2 linked regions of the Cricetulus griseus genome follow. Each later gene encodes a partner of the first gene's protein in a complex. Links are inferred from orthologs where the notes say so. Each region holds a gene or a part of one and is shown in the gene's direction. Other genes may lie near its edges.

What was found. The genes of interacting proteins can lie anywhere in the genome.
Region 2: the proteins of Srrt (region 1) and Ncbp2 are in contact, whole or in part, in a cryo-EM structure (PDB 8PMP), measured with the Homo sapiens proteins. The link is inferred for Cricetulus griseus from reciprocal best matches to the Homo sapiens genes SRRT and NCBP2. Residues at the interface, in NP_056992.4 of Homo sapiens: Asp857, Arg859, Ala860, Ile861, Val862, Glu863, Tyr864, Arg865, Ala869, Asp874; in NP_031388.2 of Homo sapiens: Ser48, Phe49, Tyr50, Thr51, Thr52, Glu53, Gln55, Lys67, Met71, Leu73, Met76, Lys77, Lys78, Thr79, Ala80, Tyr89, Asp107, Glu121.

What each region holds. Positions count from the first base shown.
Region 1 is NC_048597.1:116,215,548-116,223,929, reverse strand, and holds the start of Srrt (serrate RNA effector molecule homolog), read left to right. Parts: upstream 1-1,918; 5' UTR 1,919-2,186; intron 2,187-2,418; 5' UTR 2,419-2,436; coding exon 2,437-2,558; intron 2,559-6,566; coding exon 6,567-6,695; intron 6,696-6,923; coding exon 6,924-7,070; intron 7,071-7,299; coding exon 7,300-7,488; intron 7,489-8,382. UniProt on the Homo sapiens protein: Acts as a mediator between the cap-binding complex (CBC) and the primary microRNAs (miRNAs) processing machinery during cell proliferation.
Region 2 is NC_048597.1:57,542,083-57,552,613, reverse strand, and holds Ncbp2 (nuclear cap-binding protein subunit 2), read left to right. Parts: upstream 1-1,051; 5' UTR 1,052-1,128; coding exon 1,129-1,206; intron 1,207-5,572; coding exon 5,573-5,754; intron 5,755-7,568; coding exon 7,569-7,707; intron 7,708-8,166; coding exon 8,167-8,238; 3' UTR 8,239-9,850; downstream 9,851-10,531. Other genes in the region: protein NCBP2AS2, read right to left, coding at 607-906. UniProt on the Homo sapiens protein: Component of the cap-binding complex (CBC), which binds co-transcriptionally to the 5' cap of pre-mRNAs and is involved in various processes such as pre-mRNA splicing, translation regulation, nonsense-mediated mRNA decay, RNA-mediated gene silencing (RNAi) by microRNAs (miRNAs) and mRNA export.

The sequences.
Region 1 (8,382 bases):
GAAGAGTTTAAAAGCACTTGCAAGTCTGCTTTTTCATTGGAGTTTTATAGGATGAGGCCATGTAAACCTCAAATTCCAGCACTCAGGAGGCAGAGGCAGGTGGATCTCTGTGACTTCAAGGCCAGCCTGGTCTACATAATAAATTCCAGGCCAGTGAGGGCTCCATAGTGAGATAGCTTAAAACAAAGGCTATCTTAAACTTTATTTGGTTTTTCGAGACAGGGTTTCCTCTGTGGTACAGTCCTGGCTGACTTGGAACTCTCTTTGTAGACCAGGCTGGCCTCAAACTCACAGAGATCTTCCTGCCTTTGCCTCCCAAGTGCTGGGACTAAAGGCGTGCTCCACCACTGCCCAGCTCAAATGGCTCCATTTCTATTGGTCTTTCACTCCTCCAGTCTTCTGATGGCAGACTTGACTGACTGCAGAAGTGGTGCTGCAGGTCCAGGCCCCACAAGCAGGAGGGACAAATTCTAATGTGTCCCAGGCTACCCTTGAATTTGATACATAACTGAGAGAGCCCAGGCTGTTCTTGAACTCTGGATCCTCCTGCCTTCACTTCTCAAGTGCTAGGATTACCAGGAGTCTGCCATTGTGTCTGGTGACTTTTTTTGTGGGGGATGGGAGGGTCCTGGGGATGGACCAGGGACACACACATGCTAAGCAAATGCCCTACCACTGAACTGTAACACCCCCCCCCCTTCTTGGTTTCTTATTTTCTAAACCCAAGTCCTTTCATATGGTAGGCAAGCATTCTATCACCACTCTTCCCTCTTAAACTATGTGTGGATGAGCTGAACTCTGTGGTGAATGCCTTTAATCCCAGCAATTGGGAGGCAGATGTAGGTGGATCTCTTGAGTTCTAGAACAGCCTGATCTCTAGAGGGAGTTCCAGGACAGCCTGAGCGACACAGAGCAAAAAACAAAAAATTATGTGTGCATGTATACCTCTGTGTGGTTACATGTACATTTGAGCATAGTAGTCCAGAAGAGGTCATCAGATCCCCAAGAACTGGAGTTAACAGCCTGTGAGGGTGCTGGGAATCAAACTCTGGCACTCTGCAAGAGCAGGAAGTGCTCTTAACCACTGAACCATCTTTTCAGACACTTCTGGAGGATTTTTTTTTTTTTTTTTTTTTTTTTTTTTTTTTTTTTTTTTGCGACAGGGTTTCACCAAATTGCCCAGGCTTGCTTTGAACTCATTTTGTAGCCCTTAAATTTGTGATCCTCCAGCTTCAACTTGCTGAGTAGCTGGGATCACAGGCCTGTGCCAACATGACTACATTTTTAAATGCCCCTTATTGTAAAGACACTTTTACGTCTGTGGCATGCTCCATTCTTTAGCTTGGCATTTTATCATTGAGAAGGGCTTGGTGTTATCTTGGGGAATTAATTATGCATTTAAACTGGAAGCCACTGGATCCTGGTGGTTGCTTCCAGACTGCTATGCACAACTTCCCGTTAAAGAATTGGGGATTAAAACTGAGATTTGGATGGTTGGCGCAAGATTTAGGCGCCTCTGTCCAAGAAAGCAGGAAGAATGCGTTTTGCAAGTAGCACATAGTGTGGATTTCTGGGAAAGAAGAAAATGGTGGGAGATGCCTTTAAAATGGTTGCTTGCATGCATGATTCCCTAGATATCCACTGCCCTCAAACCCATCCATAGCGCGAGGAGAGGGCAGATCCACCCTTGGAGAGGGCAAGTAATGCCCCAACCCAGGCCTCTTGCAATGCAACCTCTAGATGCAAACTAGCTCCAACACAGGAGACGTTACCGGAGAGAAACTCTCCATCTCCCTTCTCGTGTTCAAAAGGAAGCACCACGTTCAGAAGGCCTGGCTTGGCCCAGCTCAGCTTCCGTAGCTCCTAGCGCTGGAGCGATTTTGTCGTAAAACCGCGCGAGATTTCCGGGTCTCCACCCTTTTCCCATCATCCCCTTGCTCGCTCTCTGAGTTTTAGTTTGGTCGGGGGTCTTGTTTGTGCTTGGGAGCCGAGCTTCGGGGTGACTCCTGCGCGCGCCACCCCCCCTAACCCTCGGCAGTCCCGCTGCGGTCTCTCGTCGGCCTCCGGGCTGAGAATTCCCCCGTCCGCCTTCAAACCCTCCTTGCGGTTCGTCGGCGCGCGTTCCGGTCCGCCCGGAAAACCAGCCCGCCGGCGGCGCGCGCTGCCAACGGCCCGACCTCGGCCAGGTGGGGGAGGGGAAGGAAAGGCCCGGGCGGCGGGATCGGAAGGAGACGGTGCCCGGGGGCTTCGGGGAGCACAAGGGGGACCCCTGGGGAAGTGAAGCTGTCGGAGCGATCGCCCTGCCCGGGATGGCAGGCCGGCCTCGGCGGGAGGGAGGCGGGCGCTCTGCCCCCGGGGGACTGCCCCTCCGCTGGTCCTTGTTCATCATCACCATGTCCGCCCGCCGCCGGGCCCCAGGCCTCCTCTGACAGCACGATGGGCGACAGCGACGACGAGTACGATCGAAGACGCAGGGACAAATTTCGAAGAGAGCGCAGCGACTATGACCGTTCCCGGGAGAGAGATGAAAGACGCCGAGGGGACGATTGGAATGACCGGTGAGACGTATTAACGTACTTTGTTTTCCCTTCACAACCGGTCCACGCCGAGGTTTTATTCCGTCCCATCTTGTCTGCGTTGCTTTTTTTCCCTTTACAAAATTTTGTTAGGATGTAATCCACTGTTGGACCGTTTTCTGTGATTCAATACATTCACTGTTGTCTTAGATTTTTGAAAGGCCTTTAAGATCAAAGCTACAGCCAGAAGTAGAGGTGGACAGGAGCCCTACCCAGCTACTTGGACCACTTCGTCTTCCATGCAGGTCTAGGTCACATAGGAAGACTACCCATCTCAAACCCAAATGAGGCGGAACAGACAGGTCTACGTGTTTGAGCCAAGAGTCTGAGTGGGAAAAATCAGTCTTTCTTTGAAATGCATCAGGAGTTTTCCTTCCTCCCTTCCTTCTATTGGAAAGATGGGGTTTCTTATAGCCAGTTGGCCTGGAACTTGCTGGGTAGCTGAGGATGACATTAACAACATTCTAAACCCCTCCACCCCCCCCCAGATTTCAGGCATGCACCACCAGATCCCTGTTTAAACCGTGCTAGGGATGGAGCCCAGGACTTTGTAGTTGCTAGGCAAGCCCTCAGCTGAGCATGTCCTAGTTCCAGGGAGTGCTTGTGCATTTTATTACTTGTAAATTGCATTATTTATTTTTTGAGGCAGGGTCTCTCCGTAGTCCTGGCTGTCCTGGAATTCAATACTATGTAGACCAGTCAGACCCTTAAACACACCGAGATCTGTTTGCCTCTGCTTTCCCAGTACTAGGATTAAAGGTGGCAAGAATTATTATTACTAGTTAGTTTATTTATTTACCTTTGACTTTTTTGAGGCAGGGTTTCTCTGTGTAGCTTTGGAGCCTGTCATGGAACTAGCTCTGTAGACCAGGCTGGCCTTGAACTTATTACAGAGATCATCCGATAAAAGGTGTGTGTCACCACCGCCTGGCTAAGATTTTTTTTTTTTTAAGTTTGTTGAGTGTTTTGTCTACATGTATTTATGCTGTGCCTGATTCCTGTAAGAACAGAGTTGTATCCCTGGAACTGGAATTGAGAGATAGTTGTGAGCTAACAGGTGGTTCCTAGGAACTGAGCCTCAGTCCACTGAACTGCTGAGAGCCATCTCTCTACCCCACCCCTGCACTTTATTGTTTTTCAGACTGGGTCTTATGTACTATTTACTGGCCTGGAGTGTGATCCTCCTGCCTCAGCTCTTCAGTGCTTGAGTTAGAAGTGAGGCAGCATACTTAACTCTCTGGTGCTTCTTAAATAAGAAACTCAAGGTTGCTTTCTGAGTCTGAAACTAGATGAAGTTCTTCAGAGTTCAAAAGTGTCAGGTCAAAGTGGCTTTCAGTACATGCCACAGACAGACCAGAGTGGGAGGTCATTGCAAAGACACTTAAGTTCTGAGGAACAGATGATGTTCAAGACACAGGTGTAGTGTTGGGGAGAGCCTTAGGAAAGGGACACATAGCTGGGTTTCTAGGTAATTCCCTAGAAACAGCTTGAGGTCAACAGGTTGAGACAAGGACACATACTCTTAGTTGGTGTAGTGGTTCTCAAACTGTATTGCTGCCTTTGTTAGTGGCACTGCAGGAATGCTAGTTAAAGCCCGGAGCCTTAGCACAAAGATCATGAAAAGGATGCCCGCTTGAAGAACACCAGTTAGTGTCCCTAAGTAGAGTGTGTGTCTCTGTGTCTGGTTTGGTTTTCAGGATGAGTGTTGGATTAGAAGTACACATAATAGAGCACTGTGTTAGGTGTAGGACAGTTGCTGCCTTCAGCAAGAGCAGTTGTGTGATTGGTTGGGGAGCCTGAAGGTTTCCCAGAGGTGCCATTTTTTTTTTTTTTTTATTTGAGCAGTATCAACACTGGGGTTTCACAAGTAGTGTTAAGCAGACTTGTGCAGGAGAGTAAGCTAAGAGAAATTGTTACTTAGAAGAAATCTGTTATAGTATTTGTTGCTAATGAACTTGCTGGTAGAAACAAAGTTGGAAAATTTGTATCTACCAGTATGAGCTTGACAATGTCCTATTGTGTAGACTTTTCTGAGATAAGCAGTCTTTATGAAGTGTCTTTTTTGTTTGTTTTTTGAGACAGGGTTTCTCTGTGTAGTCCTGGCTGTCCTGGAACTTGCTCTGTAGACCAGGCTGGCTTTGGAACTCACAGATCCACCTGCCTCTGCCTCCTGAGTGCTGGATTAAAGGAGTGTGCCACCACACCCTGTGAAATGTATCTTGATACTATATATTGGGAAATGTCAGGAGCTGCTCAAAGGGCTGGTAGCACAATGAGTAAAAAACTTTGTTTTGAGACAGGGTCTTTTTTTAATTTAAATTCTTTAATACTCATTTACATATCCACCCCCCCCATTCCCTCACCCTCCCATCCTGCCATGTACCCTACCAACCCTCCCAACTCCTCCCCAGGGATAGTGAGGCCCTCCACCTGGGACCTTCAAAGTCTGTCATATCATTTGGAGGATGGCCTAGGCCCTCCTTGCTGTATCTGGGCTGCAGTAGTATCCCTCCATAGGGAATGGACTCCCAAAGTCCATTTGTGCTCTAGGGATAAACACTGGCTCCACTGTTAGAGGTCCCATAGACTGCCCAAGCCTCCTAGCTGGTACCCACATTGAGAGAGCTTGGTTCGGTCCAATGCTGTTTACCAAGCACTAGGGTCTCCGTGCTCTCACTAGGTCAGGTCCACTGTTTTTACGGGTTTCTCCAGCCCCATCTTGGCTCCTTTGCTCATCCCTCCTCCCTGTCCACAGCTGGATTCTGTGAGTATGGTTCAGTGGTGAGCTGTTTGTGCCTGTTTCTGCTTCGAACAGCTACTGGATGAGGCTCTCAGGCGGCAGGCAGAGGGCAGAGACGACACAGGGTCTTAGTTTGATCTCATATTTACTATGTAGCTGCCTCCATTTTCCAAGTGCTAGAGTTATACCTTGCCTGCTTCAACTTACTGTTAAACTGCCTCTTTGCAGGAGTAGAAGCTCACACCTGTAATCTGCACTCCTGGGGTAAGGAAGAGACAATTCTCGTCTAAGTAGGGAGTTCCAGGCCAGCCACAACTACAGACTTTGAGATCCTGTCTCAAAAGCCAAAAAGGGGACTGGGCAAGGTGGCTCACACCTATAGTTAATCCCAGGAGGCAGGGGCTGGAGAATGTCTGAGTTTGAAGCCAGCCTGATCTATGCAGTGAGTTCTTGAACAGCTAGGGCTATATAGACCCCAAATTAACAACCCTCCCTTCCTAAAAAGAAAGATAGAAAGAAAGAAAGGAAGGAACCTATCTAGCTGGCCCAGCTGCTTGAGAGGCTGAGACAGGAGGATTGCTAGAGTTCAAGAGTTTGAGAGCTCTGCCAGCATAACAGGATTCTGTTAACTTTTTTCAGGAGCCAGAAAACATAGCCCAAATGATCTGAAAAAGCCATTTAAGTCTTCCCTTTTATGGAACTGTGTATGGGTGGACAAGGTTGTCTTTCTTCCACCTTATCCCTGTGGAAGCTCTTTTAAACCACACGGTGATGAGGACAGTGCTCCTCCTTATACTAACTTTGAGTGATAGAAGCTTATAGTCCTCTTCCTGAACCTGAGGCAGGAGGCTCTCGAGTTCAAGTACTGCCTGGTGTGCAGAGTGAGTTCAGGGGCAGGACTGGGGACACACTCTAGTTCAGTGCAGAGACACATTCAGGAAGCACTAGATTCAGTTTCTATGCCCCCAAAGTAATATATATTAATATGTAGTTTCAAGGTTCATGAAGCTTTATGGTAGGTGTAGTGGTGTGTGCACTTGGGATGTGAAAGTAAGAGATAGGTTCAGAGTGATGCGCTTTGGTTACATAGGGTGTTCAAGACCAGCCTGTGTGTGAACCACCACAGCTGTCAAGCTATTGGGTGTTTTGTTTGCTTGTGTGTCGTGCTTTGCTAGAGAATGGAAGCCAAGGCCTGTGTTTCCACCACTGCATCCACACCTCCATCTTAGCCACTGTCTTTCCTATTCCAGAGAGTGGGACCGTGGCCGGGAGCGCCGCAGTCGGGGTGAATATCGAGACTATGACCGGAATCGAAGGGAACGTTTCTCCCCCCCTCGCCACGAACTTAGCCCCCCACAAAAGCGCATGCGGAGAGACTGGTAAGGTGGCTTCACTTTTCTTTTTTTACCCTCAGATCCCTTGGGCCTCAGCCCTCCTCTCCTGCTTCCTTGTCTCAGTCATCCCACGCACCCAGCTTTCCTTTGTCCCTTTTATCCCTTGAGTGAGAGACTACATCCTACATGTGCCCTCCTCTTGTCCCTGTCCATGTTCTGGAGAGGTGGCTCTGCTTCTTTGTGTGTCTGACTTTTGTGTCCCCCCCTCCTCAGGGATGAGCACAGTTCTGACCCATACCACAGTGGCTATGACATGCCCTATGCTGGGGGGGGTGGGGGACCAACTTATGGCCCCCCTCAGCCCTGGGGCCACCCAGACGTCCACATCATGCAGCACCATGTCCTGCCTATCCAGGCCAGGTAAAGCCTGGGGTCCTGGGGAGAAGGGAATTTCCAGAAGGGAATTGTTTGGGGCTGCTGGAGACTATGGTTGGAATCTGGGAGAGGGCTAGGTTCTGGGGTGCCTGTGAGGTGTAGCACTTACTGCTTGGGGTAGTGGGTATTTGGACAAAGAATGGGGTGTCTGACTACCTAGGCTCTACCTCTCCCTCACAACCAAGCCTTCTTGTTTGGACGCCCCCTCCCCCAGGCTGGGCAGCATTGCAGAGATTGACTTGGGTGTGCCACCACCTGTAATGAAGTCCTTCAAAGAATTCCTCCTGTCCCTGGATGACTCTGTGGATGAGACTGAGGCAGTCAAACGCTACAATGACTACAAGCTCGACTTCCGAAGGCAGCAGATGCAGGACTTTTTCCTGGCTCATAAAGATGAGGAGTGGTGAGTGCCCCTCTTGCCTGCCCCATTTCTCTGGCCTGGCCAGGGGAGCTGCAGCCTTGTCCTCCTCCAGTTCTCCCCAACATGGCACTTCCTGGGAGTGGGGAAGGGGAGGGAAACTGTTGGCTGGTGGGACCCCCCCCCCCCATTTCCCTTCTCTGCTGTCCTCACTGGGACACCTCCAGGCAGCTGACCAGAGCTACTTAGCCTCTTGGGGCAGCACAAAGACTGCGACCCTCTTGTCAGTTTGGGTCATTGTCATCCCCAACCACCTGTGTGGCAGTGGTCTCCCAAAGGCAACGAGTGAAGCCAGACAAGAACAGCCAAGATCTCAGGGTCGTTTGACAGAGAAAAGAATTTGAATTTTTTTTCCTTATGTGGATGTTTTAATTTTAATCAACCATCTTTTCCCCCCTCCTGCTCCTCCTCCTCATCCTCTTTCTGCTCCTCCTCCTTGAAAAGAGCCAGAACTGGGAACTACACCCGCTCATCGTCGGAGCTCGGAGCAAACCCACCTCCACCCCCACCATACCCAGCCCATACATGAGCCCCTGGGCAGAGCCGCGGGGCCCGGCCAGGCAGACAGGCAGGGCACCGCTGTGCACAATGCAGTGGTCTAGCTGAATGTATTGCTTAGGCAGCTAGTCAGTCAGGGCCCCCACCGCGGAGGCCCGCGGGGGCGGGGCATCTAGGCCGGTCACCCCAGCCAGGAGCCAGCGGGCAGCCCGCCAGCCAGCATGGGCCCTGGGCGCCGCTAGTTAAATCTTGAGCTCTGTTTGACCAAGCAGCCAAGGTAAAGACCCTGGAGGTGACGCCTGCGGCTTTCCTCTCTGCTCAGCCTGTCTGTCCTGTCCTTGTGTGCCCCTTCTGACTGCCCTGTGTGTCTTTGATGGCTCA
Region 2 (10,531 bases), about 59 Mb from region 1:
GCAGGGAGTGCTCAAGAACACAGATCCTGGAGTCACACGCCTGGGCTCACCTCATTGTACAAGGCTTTGGGTTCAAAAAGTGGCCTCCACTTTCTCACACGAATGGGGTTTTAAGTCACAAACCACACAATGCAACAGCAAATAGCAACACAGACGCTTAACGTGTAAACTATTATTAGCAAGATCCTACAGACTTAGCAGCTTACATATTTAACCAGAGATCTTGGCAACCTCAGGGTTGTCATTCCATCTACCATCTTCCCTGGTATTCTCCTGCACCAGTGCAGATGGCAGTAGCGTTTATTTCGCTTCAGTCCCGCTTGCAGAAGGCAGGCTTCCTGGTCGTTTGTCCTTGGCTCTCAGTCATACTAAGTTTTGGTGTTGACTTTTATCTCTGGTGGCCTTCGGGGTCTTTACGTCCTGCCTAGTCACAGGACTACCACGCACATGTCCATTTGACCTTAGGCTTCTGTATGTTGACCGCCGCGTCAGGATTCGAGGCCGTGCATCGTGCGGGAGATGACTCATGTTTGCTAAGGTCGGTGTAGATCACTGGAGGGAGGGGTGGGGGAACGTGACCTAGGCCCGTGAGAGTGCAGTCTGTGCTTATGATTTGGTGCCCGGACCCTTCTGATGACCTGGGGATGACCCTGGTTGGTCCCGGAGGCCTCGGCGGAGTTCCTGGGTGAAGGTGTCCTTGAACCGGGTGGCGCGGCGACCCAAGGAGCCTAGGGGCTGACCCGCGAGGGCGCGCAGACGGCGGGCCGCGTCGTGGCCGCGCAGTTGCAGCTGCAGCAGCGCGAAAGCCGTGAGTTGCGCCGCCCGCCGGATAGGCCGTGACTCGGACAGCCGCTCCACCAGCTGCGGGTTGTGCAGCAGGGCTGCCAGCAGCCGCCGGAAAATCATCGTCCTCGGAGCGCCCGGGAACCCGGGGCGAGCCTTCACTCACCTTCCGACCGGCCACTCCCGACGACGGACAAGCCGGCGCCGCATGATGACGACACAGCCGCACCAGGATTGGCCCTGACCACGTCGGCTTACTGCAACAGGACGCACGCATTTCCGTTTCCGCCGCCACCGCCGCCTGGTCCTTCCAGTCGTGGCCGCGTCGTGGTTCGTGTCTGCACCATGTCCGGTGGCCTCCTGAAGGCGCTACGCAGTGACTCCTACGTGGAGCTCAGCGAGTACCGGGACCAGCACTTCCGGGTGAGGCGGGCCGGGCCACGAGAGGGGCTGGCTTTGGGCTGGAATACTGAGAAACGGTTTGCATTTGTCTTACTGTGTCTTCCACTCGTCTTATTGTGTCTTCCTTCCTGTTTTGTTGGGGTCCTAAAATGCGAATGGGGTCCCAGAGGTGTTTGGATATCATTGAAGCCACTTTACTCCTAGGGAACCTGGGATTTGCTTTTACAGTTTCTTACTGCTGCTGCGGGTACCAGCACCAATGCAGGGAGGTTCGGGTAGTGGTGGCTGTTTTGATGGGCTTGTCTTGCTTGGGAAAGTGTCTGTAATGAAGGAGTTATCCCTGCGTTGGCTGACCCAGACAGTATAGCCGTTTTTGTTTTTATAATCAGCTAGACATTCCCGTCTGGTATTACAGTCCTTAGTTTTTGTAAGACAGTCCTACAAAGTTGGCAATAGTAGGAGACTCAAAGTTGAGCCCTGTTTTTTGCTGTCTGACGGGCATCGGGCATGGACAAGCCACACGAGTCACAATAAGGTTGTCTGGATGGCAAAATCCAGTGCAGGCACTGGCTACACAGAGAAACCCTGTCTCGAAATACAAGCAAAAACACAAAGAAACTCAATCAGCTTAATTTGAAAACGTATACTGTGTGTCTGGTATGAGTTTCACTTGTACTGCTGTTTTTGTTTTGTTTTGTTTTGTTTTTAACAGTTCCCATTACTTTCAACAGTTCCACATCAGTAACTAACGATTTTGAATTTAAAGCATCCTGCAAGGTTAAAACCAGGAGAGGGATCATTTATTTCTTTTGTCAAAAGCCTGTAGCTCTGTTCGGACATTAATAATTTCTGTCGTGCATTTTTTAGTGTCAGTGCTGTACTGAGTGTGAAATTAAGTTACACTGAAGCTGTAAACTGTTTGGATTTTACTTGTGAGAAACGAACAGCAGTACAAAGTGAATCTGCTAGCCAGGTGCGATGGTGGACATCTGTATTCCTAGTTGTTCTGGAGACTGAGGCAGGAAGATCCCATGAGATCAGCTGGAACATGTAAAAGAAAATGTTGAAGTGATTATTTTCTCTAATGGATCATCGAAAGTTCTAAAACCTTGGGTTTATTTGGTTTGGGCTTGTTTGTTTGTTTGAGACAGGGTTTCTTGTGTAGCCCTGCCTGTCCTGGCACTCCCTCTGTAAACCAGGCTGGCCTTGAACGCACAGAGATCTGCCTGTCTCAGCCTCCCAGGTGCTGGTATTAAAGGTATGCAACACCACCACTACCACCCAGCTGGGGTTGTTTTTTTCAAGACAGGGTTTCTCTGTGTAGCTTTGGAGCCTATCCTGGCACTTGCTCTGGAGACCAGGCTGGCCCTGAACTCACAGAGATCCGCCTGCCTATGCCTCCCGAGTGCTGGGATTAAAGGTGTGTGCCACCATCGCCCAGGGCACCCAGCTGTTTGTTTGAATGCAAATGACTATTGTTCCATAGACTTCACCTGTTCAGTCCTGTTGTGATCTTAAGGCAATGTGGTAGTGGGGATAAGACCAGAATTTTACTTTGTTTTGTTTTTTAAACTGTAACTTGGAAAGCTAGAGAGATGTCTTAGAGGTTAGCACAAGCTGTTCTGGAGGACCTGGATTTAGTTCCCAGTCCTGGCATGATGACTCACAACCATCTGTAACTGATTCCAAAGGATCTGGTGCCCTCTTCTGGTCTCTGAAGGCACTAGCCATGCATCTGGTACACAGACATACAAACACGCAAAACACCCATACCTATAAAATAATAATAAAGCCAAGCCAAAAACTGTAACTTGGAGATGGGTGTGATGACCCATGCCTGTTACTGAAGCATTTGGGGGAGGTGGTAGCATGAGTCTCAGGAGTCTGAGGCCAGATTGGGCTATCTCAGAAAACAATTGGGCTAAGTAGACTTAGCTCAACAGGTAGAATGCTTGCCTAGCATGCATGCATGAAACTCTTGGGTAGATCTTGAGCTGTATATAAACTTGGAGTGGTGGTGAGTGCCTATAAGCCCAGTACTAGGAAAGTGGAGGCAAGAGGATCAGCAATTCAGTGTTATCCTTGGTTACAATGGTTCAATACAGCCTAAGCTACATGAAACCCTGTCTCAAAAAAACAGTAACAAAAGCATCTGGAGACAGTTGAGTGGTGGTGGCACAGGCCTGTAATCCCAGCCCAGCACTCAGGAGGCAGAGGCAGGCCTGGTCTTCAAAGAGTTACAGGACAGTCTCCAAACCTACAGAGAAACCCTGTCTTGAAACCCCCCCCAAAAAAAACAAAGTGGTAGGGGGTGTCTGGAGGACTCTAGTTCAGTCCCTAACACACCAGGTATCATCTCACAGCCAGTTTCAGGGAATCTGATGCCTCTGGTCTCCAAGGGCTGTCACACTGTGCGTGCATACGCATGCACGCATGCATGCACAATAACTTAAAAAGTAAAGAAAACTGCAGAGCTGGAGAGATGGCTCAGTGGTTAAGAGCACTGGCTTCCAAAGGTCCCAAGTTCAATTCCCAGCAACCACAGAGCAGCCCACAACCATAGTAATGAGATCTGGTGCCCTCTTCTGGCCTGCAGGCACACATGTAGGTGGAACACTGCATACATAATAAGTAAATACCTGCTAGCCTGAGCTCTGTTATAAAAAGAATGCAGGTGATTAGTGCACTCATATTCTCAGAAAAAAAGGGAACTGGATCAACATTACTTAAGGAATACTAGATGAAAACTGGAGAGTTCTAGAGTGAATTCCCTGAACTTAAGTCTTATCAGCTCCTCCAGACTGGATTCTATCATATGGTTGTCTGGACTAAAAAATGTCTGGTCAGTTGGTATATCTGTTTAGTCACATCTGTGCATTTGTGTCCTTTCCAGTGGGAATGCTAGAAAGCCCAGGGATAACTCCCCCCCCCCTTTTCTTCTGATAAACACCATGCTAGCTGAGTGTGGTGGCTCATGTGTATAATCACAGCTTTCAGGAGGCTGAAGCAGGGTGTTCAAAGCTCAAGACTAGTCTAGACTATAATGTAAGGTCCCAGAGATAAGAAACAAACCTGGAGCTGGGGGTGTTGCTCAGCATGCTAACGTGAAACCTTGAGTTTATTCCCCATCACCACAAATAATCAAATACCACATCTAAGACCCAATGAACCATCTTATACCTGGGGACTGCTTTATGTTGGTTGAAGCTCGCTTAAACTCCCATCTTTAGCACGTGTCTCTCTCTCTCTCTCTCTCTCTCTCTCTCTCTCTCTCTCTCTCTCTCTCTCTCTTTCTCTCTCTCTCTCGCTCGCTCGCTCTCTCTCACTCTCTCTGGCTTCATCCTGTCTTTTAAAGAAAGTCTTGCCAGACAGTGGTGGTGCACACCTTTAATCTCAGCACTAGGAGCCTTAAAACAGGCAAGTCTCTGAGCTCTACATTAGCCAAAGCTACAGAGAGAGACCACATTTTAAAAAAGAAAGAAAAGAAAAAAAAAATCCTCTTAGTGGTCACTAACCTCTTACATGCACAAAAACATAACCATGCAAATCACCTAGCAGTTTTTGCTATGAACAGGCTTTAGGGGAGTACTGACAAGACTTACTTTTATTATAAAGGGTAAAAGGCCTTTCTGATATGTTCTGTCAAGGTGTAGAATTTGAACTTGGCCATTAGAGAAGGATCCAGTGCTGAGGGCAATGAACTATGCAAGAAAAAGGCATGCCACTCTTATGGCAGTATGATATAGGAGGATATGTGCTTTGTTTCTCCACTAAAAGCAGGCTGAACCTTACACTAGTATTTTAGAATGGGAATACTTCCAGACTGGTAGGGTTCTTACCTAATATGTAATATCTTGGGTTCAATTTCCAATGCCCCAAAACAAATTCACACTTTGAATAGTCAGTACTCTTAACCTATAAGCCATCTCTGCATTCACCCCACAACCACCTCTTAGGGCAAGGAAGAGTATGTGCTAGGGATCAGAAGATGAGAGCCTTTAATTTCCAGATCAGAATGGGCATCTTTATTATACTTGGAAATATGACTTTAACCAAGGCTCTGTAATTTTAGTTTTCAAGTCTGTTCATTTTATATATGTGTAATGCTTATGGAGGATTCACTCTTGTTTCTGCTCTGCACTGTCTACTCCAGACTGGGCTGGCCTCAAGCTTCAAGGAGATTCTCTATTCCGGTCCCATGTTCTGTAGGAGTGCTGGGATTACAGGTGCATGCCACCACATCCAGCTCTTCACTGGGCTTCCAGGGATCAAACTCAAGTTGTCAGGCTTGCACAGCTAGTGCTTCTCCTGACTAAGCATTCTATAGCCCTAAACAAATCTCTTTTTAGGTTGTAATGTTTAATTTCGTCTCTATTTGAAACTCTAGGGTGACAATGAAGAACAAGAAAAATTACTGAAGAAAAGCTGTACATTATATGTTGGAAATCTTTCCTTTTATACAACTGAAGAACAGATTTATGAACTCTTCAGCAAGAGTGGTGATATAAAGAAGATCATCATGGGTCTGGATAAAATGAAGAAAACGGCGTGTGGATTCTGTTTTGTGGAGTATCCTTCTTGGGCATCTAATGGAACCATTGAACCAGGACGGAGCAAGAGCGCGAGTACCTGCCTCTTTTCTTTTTTCTTTTTTTTTTTAATATGGCCCTGGCTAATCTGGAACTCTGGCCATCTAGCTGTCTGCCTCCTGGTGTTAGGATTCAAGGTGTGTGCCACTATACCCCACTTGGTTTTTTAAGGCACTAACTTACTATAATCCCTATCCTTTTCTCTCAGTTCTTCCTCTGAGTCATACTCTGTAAATTGCAAAACTGATACTACATTCCATTCAGAAATTTTGTTCACAGATGAATCTTTAAGAAAAGGTGTCTAATCCTAGCACCTGGGAGGCAGAGGCAGGTGGATATCTGGGTTTGAGGACAACCTGGTCTACCTAGTGAGTTCCTAGACAGTGAGGCCTACAGAGAGACCTTGTCTCGAAAAAGAGTTTTAGCCAGGTATGGTGATACACACCTTTAATCCCAGCACTCAAGGCAGAGTCAGGGGATCTCTGTGAGTTTGAGCTCAGTCGGGTCTACAAAGAGTTCCAGGACAGCCTGAGCTACACAGACCTGGACCCTGTCTCAGGGAGAAAAAAAATCTTGTTGTTTAGATTAGCTCCATTCCTGAGCTAAAGCCCCCAGGCAGCTGAGCATAAAGGCTCAAATCACCACAGTTTTTGGTGTATGATTTTGTAGTCAAACACACTTCTTTCTTTCCCTAAGCATAAAGGGCCAACCAGATTTCCAAAGTTTTGTACCCTACCAGCAATAGCATCAAAGAGCTCACAGGGACAACAGGGGAGAATATAAAATGGCCCTTAAGAACCAGTGTTTACATTTGCCTTGCAAGCCACAGATCAACATTCATGATAAGTGTACAGAAGTAAGCCTGCTGTTGCTCATTGGTTTTGCTCTTTGTCAAGCTTTCATGAAACAGAAGTCATTAAATGCCCACTGCTTGCTAGGCATTGTCTAGGTGTCAGATGCTGAAATTTCACCAGAAGTTTCCCTATAATTAGGATTTTTTATTTATGTGTATAAGCATGCCTGTAATATACATATATTTATGTATGTATATGAATAAGATTTTCCTTTTGTGGTGGTTTTTAAAATCTTTATATTCATTTTGTTTTTTTTGTTTTTTTTAATGTGTGAGTGCTTTGCCTGTACATATGTCTGTGCACCACGTGGTACCCACCCTCTGAGATCATAAGGCAGCATCAGATCTGAGAACTAGAGTTAAGGTTGTGAACCACCATATACGTTCTGGGTCTCGAGCCCAGGGCCTCTCAAAGAGAAAGTGCTCTTAACCACTGAGCCATATCTTAGCCCCTCCCCACTTTTGACATTGTTTTTGTTTTGAGACAGAATCTTGGTATGTAGTCCAGGCTGGCCTCAAACCCAGTAATCTCCCTGCTTCCGGCCTTTTGAGTGCTAGGATTATGGACATGAATTGTTATGTTCAACTTTTTCACTGTTCTTGCATAAGAAGTTTGTGGTCCAATATCACATTGACCATATTTTTCTATTTGCAAATCAAAACATGGACCAAATAATTATTAGCAGATATATATATATATATATAGGAAATCATGACTGACACAGGACAAATGTCATTTTTACCTATCCTTTACATGTCCCTAAGTGCTGTTGGACCAACTTTGAACTGGCTTTTACAAAATGAGTATCTTTGTAATTAGTCTGGTTGGGCTAGCTTTTCTACTTTAAACATTTTTTTTAGTAACTTGCATCATGTAGGTGTGTTGCTTCCTGTCTCTTGCTTGAAGAAATGCTGGTGTTCCTTAATACTTAACACTTAAGATACTATTCGAGAGCAGATGCAGAGAATGCCATGCGGTACATAAATGGAACTCGTCTGGATGACCGGATCATACGCACAGACTGGGATGCAGGCTTTAAGGAGGGCAGGCAGTATGGACGTGGACGGTCTGGGGGTCAGGTATGCTCCAAGGGCATCAGAGCTGGTCTGCCTGGGGTTCCAGTTATGAAGAGATGTTTTGTCAGTTTGTGGTCATCCTTTATGAACCTGTGCTTGTTAGTGTTGATGGGTTTGGAGGGGTGGTTTCCTAAGACAAGATCTTGCCATGTAGCCAACTGGTTATCAAACTTGAGATCCTCCTGCCTCTGCTTCCTGAATGTTGAAATCACAGATGGGTGAACACCAGGGCCATTGATAAGGAAATTCTAGACTTTAAAATATTAAGTGTTACTGAACTCATAATAGGGGTCTTACCCCTGCAACAGTGCCTAGAACAAAAGTGAAATGCATTGAAATGAATTTAATTTTTACGTCCTGCTTGTACATGGACACCGGAAAAGATTTAGCTATATCTGGCATGATTGTTTGTTGCATCAACATTCCAAGGAGCTGTGTTTTTTGGTTTTTTTCCCAATTAAGGTTCGAGATGAGTATCGGGAGGACTACGATGCTGGGAGAGGCGGCTATGGCAAACTGGCACAAAAACAGTGAGTGGTGAAAGCCCCAAGTACACAGCTCACTCTGTTGATGATGTTGGAGAACATTACCCAAGGTCTGATCAGTATAGTATCTCTGTTGCACTGGAAGCCACTTCTGGTTTTCCTCTGAAATATTAAAAGACAGAATCCAAAAGAATGCCTTTAATTCTAGTCTTATTAGGTTGATTTTCTGTTACTAGGTCAAAAACTGTATTCCTGGGCAGCAGAATATGTGTCAATTAAACTGTCAGCTGAATGGGACACTTCTTTTAGGGAGACTGGAAAATGTAAGGATTGACTTTACAAGCAGTCTGGTAATCTTCATGGGGACAGAAATGATTTTTTTTATATTGTAAGTCTGCATATGTATTACTGAGGTTTTGCTATAGTCTGTAGCTTTGCTCTAAATTAGGAACAGGGGTTTGCTTTTTATATTTCAATATAGTTGGTACAGAAGTCAGCCTTCACTGGGCCTGGGATGCTCCCTGCTTCTGTGCTTATTTATACTTCAGGACACTATCAGTCAGTACTTGAAGAGTGTTCACTAAACATATCCCTCAAAAGATACAAATGTTTCACTGGCAGTTTAAAACAAAACGCCTTTAATCCCAGCACTTGGGAGGCAGAGGCAGGTGAATCTCTGTGAGTTCGAGCCCAGTCTGGTCTATAGAGTGAGTTCTAGGACAGACTCCAAAGCTACAGAGAAACCCTGTCTCAAAAAAAAAAACCAAAAAAACCCAAGGACTACTTTATACAAAGAGCCTCTGCTATCCAAAGTAGGGGAAGACATTGTCAGTAGAGAATAGAATCTAAGTTCAGACACTGCCTTGACATGGAAGCTTCAATTGGGGCCATTAGATTATTTCTTCCCACTTTCAAAATGACCTTGGAATAGAATGGGCTTTTTAAAAGGGCTTCAGCCAGGCCTATAATCCTGGCTACTTGGGAGGCTGAAGCAAGAGAATCAAAAGTTCAAGGCCACCCTGGGCACCTTTTGAGTCTGTCTCAAAACAGAAACAGAAAAGGGGCAGGGGGAGATACAGGGCACAGTGGGTAGGCACTTATGTGAGTGGTCGTGGGTTTATTCCCCAGGACTGCCTGAACAATAAGAATTTGAAGACTGGGAGTCTTTAACAACAGAAACCCTCCTCGAGGGAATGTCTGTGGTAACTAACACACCCCTTAGTCTGTTTCCTTTTTCCCTCCAACTGTGCTTGCTGAGGTCCGTGCAGTGATAGTAAGCTGAAGGGCTCTACAGAAGAGTCTAGAGAATTTTGCATTCTGTCCTAATATTACATATGAGTAATTTTTCATGATTCAAAAAAAGACAAATTTTTTCATCTGTTACCTTCTAATTCTCATGAGTTTTTCAAGGGTGGGACAGAACATCTTCAAAGTTGCAATAAGTGTGGTTTTCTTGGAGCTGTAACAACTTAGGAAGCCCATTTACAAATACTTAATGAGGAGACTTGAGTTTTAAAATAAGGCTTTTTATACTGCAGTTTGAACTGTTTATCTTATATTCTTTTGTAGTAAACTATAATTCAGATTTCTATAATCTTATGACCCAAAACATTGGTAATTTTGTCTTCTGTAACAAGTATCAATAAATTTAGACCAATGTATTCTGTGTATATTTCCTTGCCTATAAAGGAGGACATGTTTTGGTGCCCTGGTATCCTGTGAGAGTCTGAATAATGAATGTACAGAATTTGTATGTCCATTTCAGTTCAATATACTATGGCAGTACATGAAAAGGAAGCCTGGGTGACCCACCTCTGTGAAAACAAAAGATGCACCAAGCAACTACTAAAGGAGGAAGGCAGAAAGAGGCGAGTTTTCCAGAAGACTTGTACTCTAGATGATGGGGCAGGAAGAAAATGGGGCTGAATTAGGATGTTTCTTGGGCTTGAGGATGCTAATTTTGACAGTCCTTTTTCATTATACTCCTTGTCTTAGTTAGGGTTTCTATTGCTGTGTACAGCTCAATAGATAGAGCTAGGTAGGGCTTACAGTGGTCACTGTTCTTCAGTGAGCCGTTACCACTGGAATGGCACTAAAAAAATACTATCCACTAGATATATTATTCAACACAAGAGAACACATGTTTATAAAGGCATTTAGTTTATTTTTCAAAAAAATATTTGCTAGAAGGGTTGAGTACTGACTGTAATTTTACATGATCATAATCTTTCAAGTGAACAACTTGTCTAGGTCTGCTTTTGTAACCCCAAATACAATTGCATTTCTTGGATGCTATTCCCCAGATCTTAGATGTCTACCAGCCAGGAGGCAGAGCCTAGCAT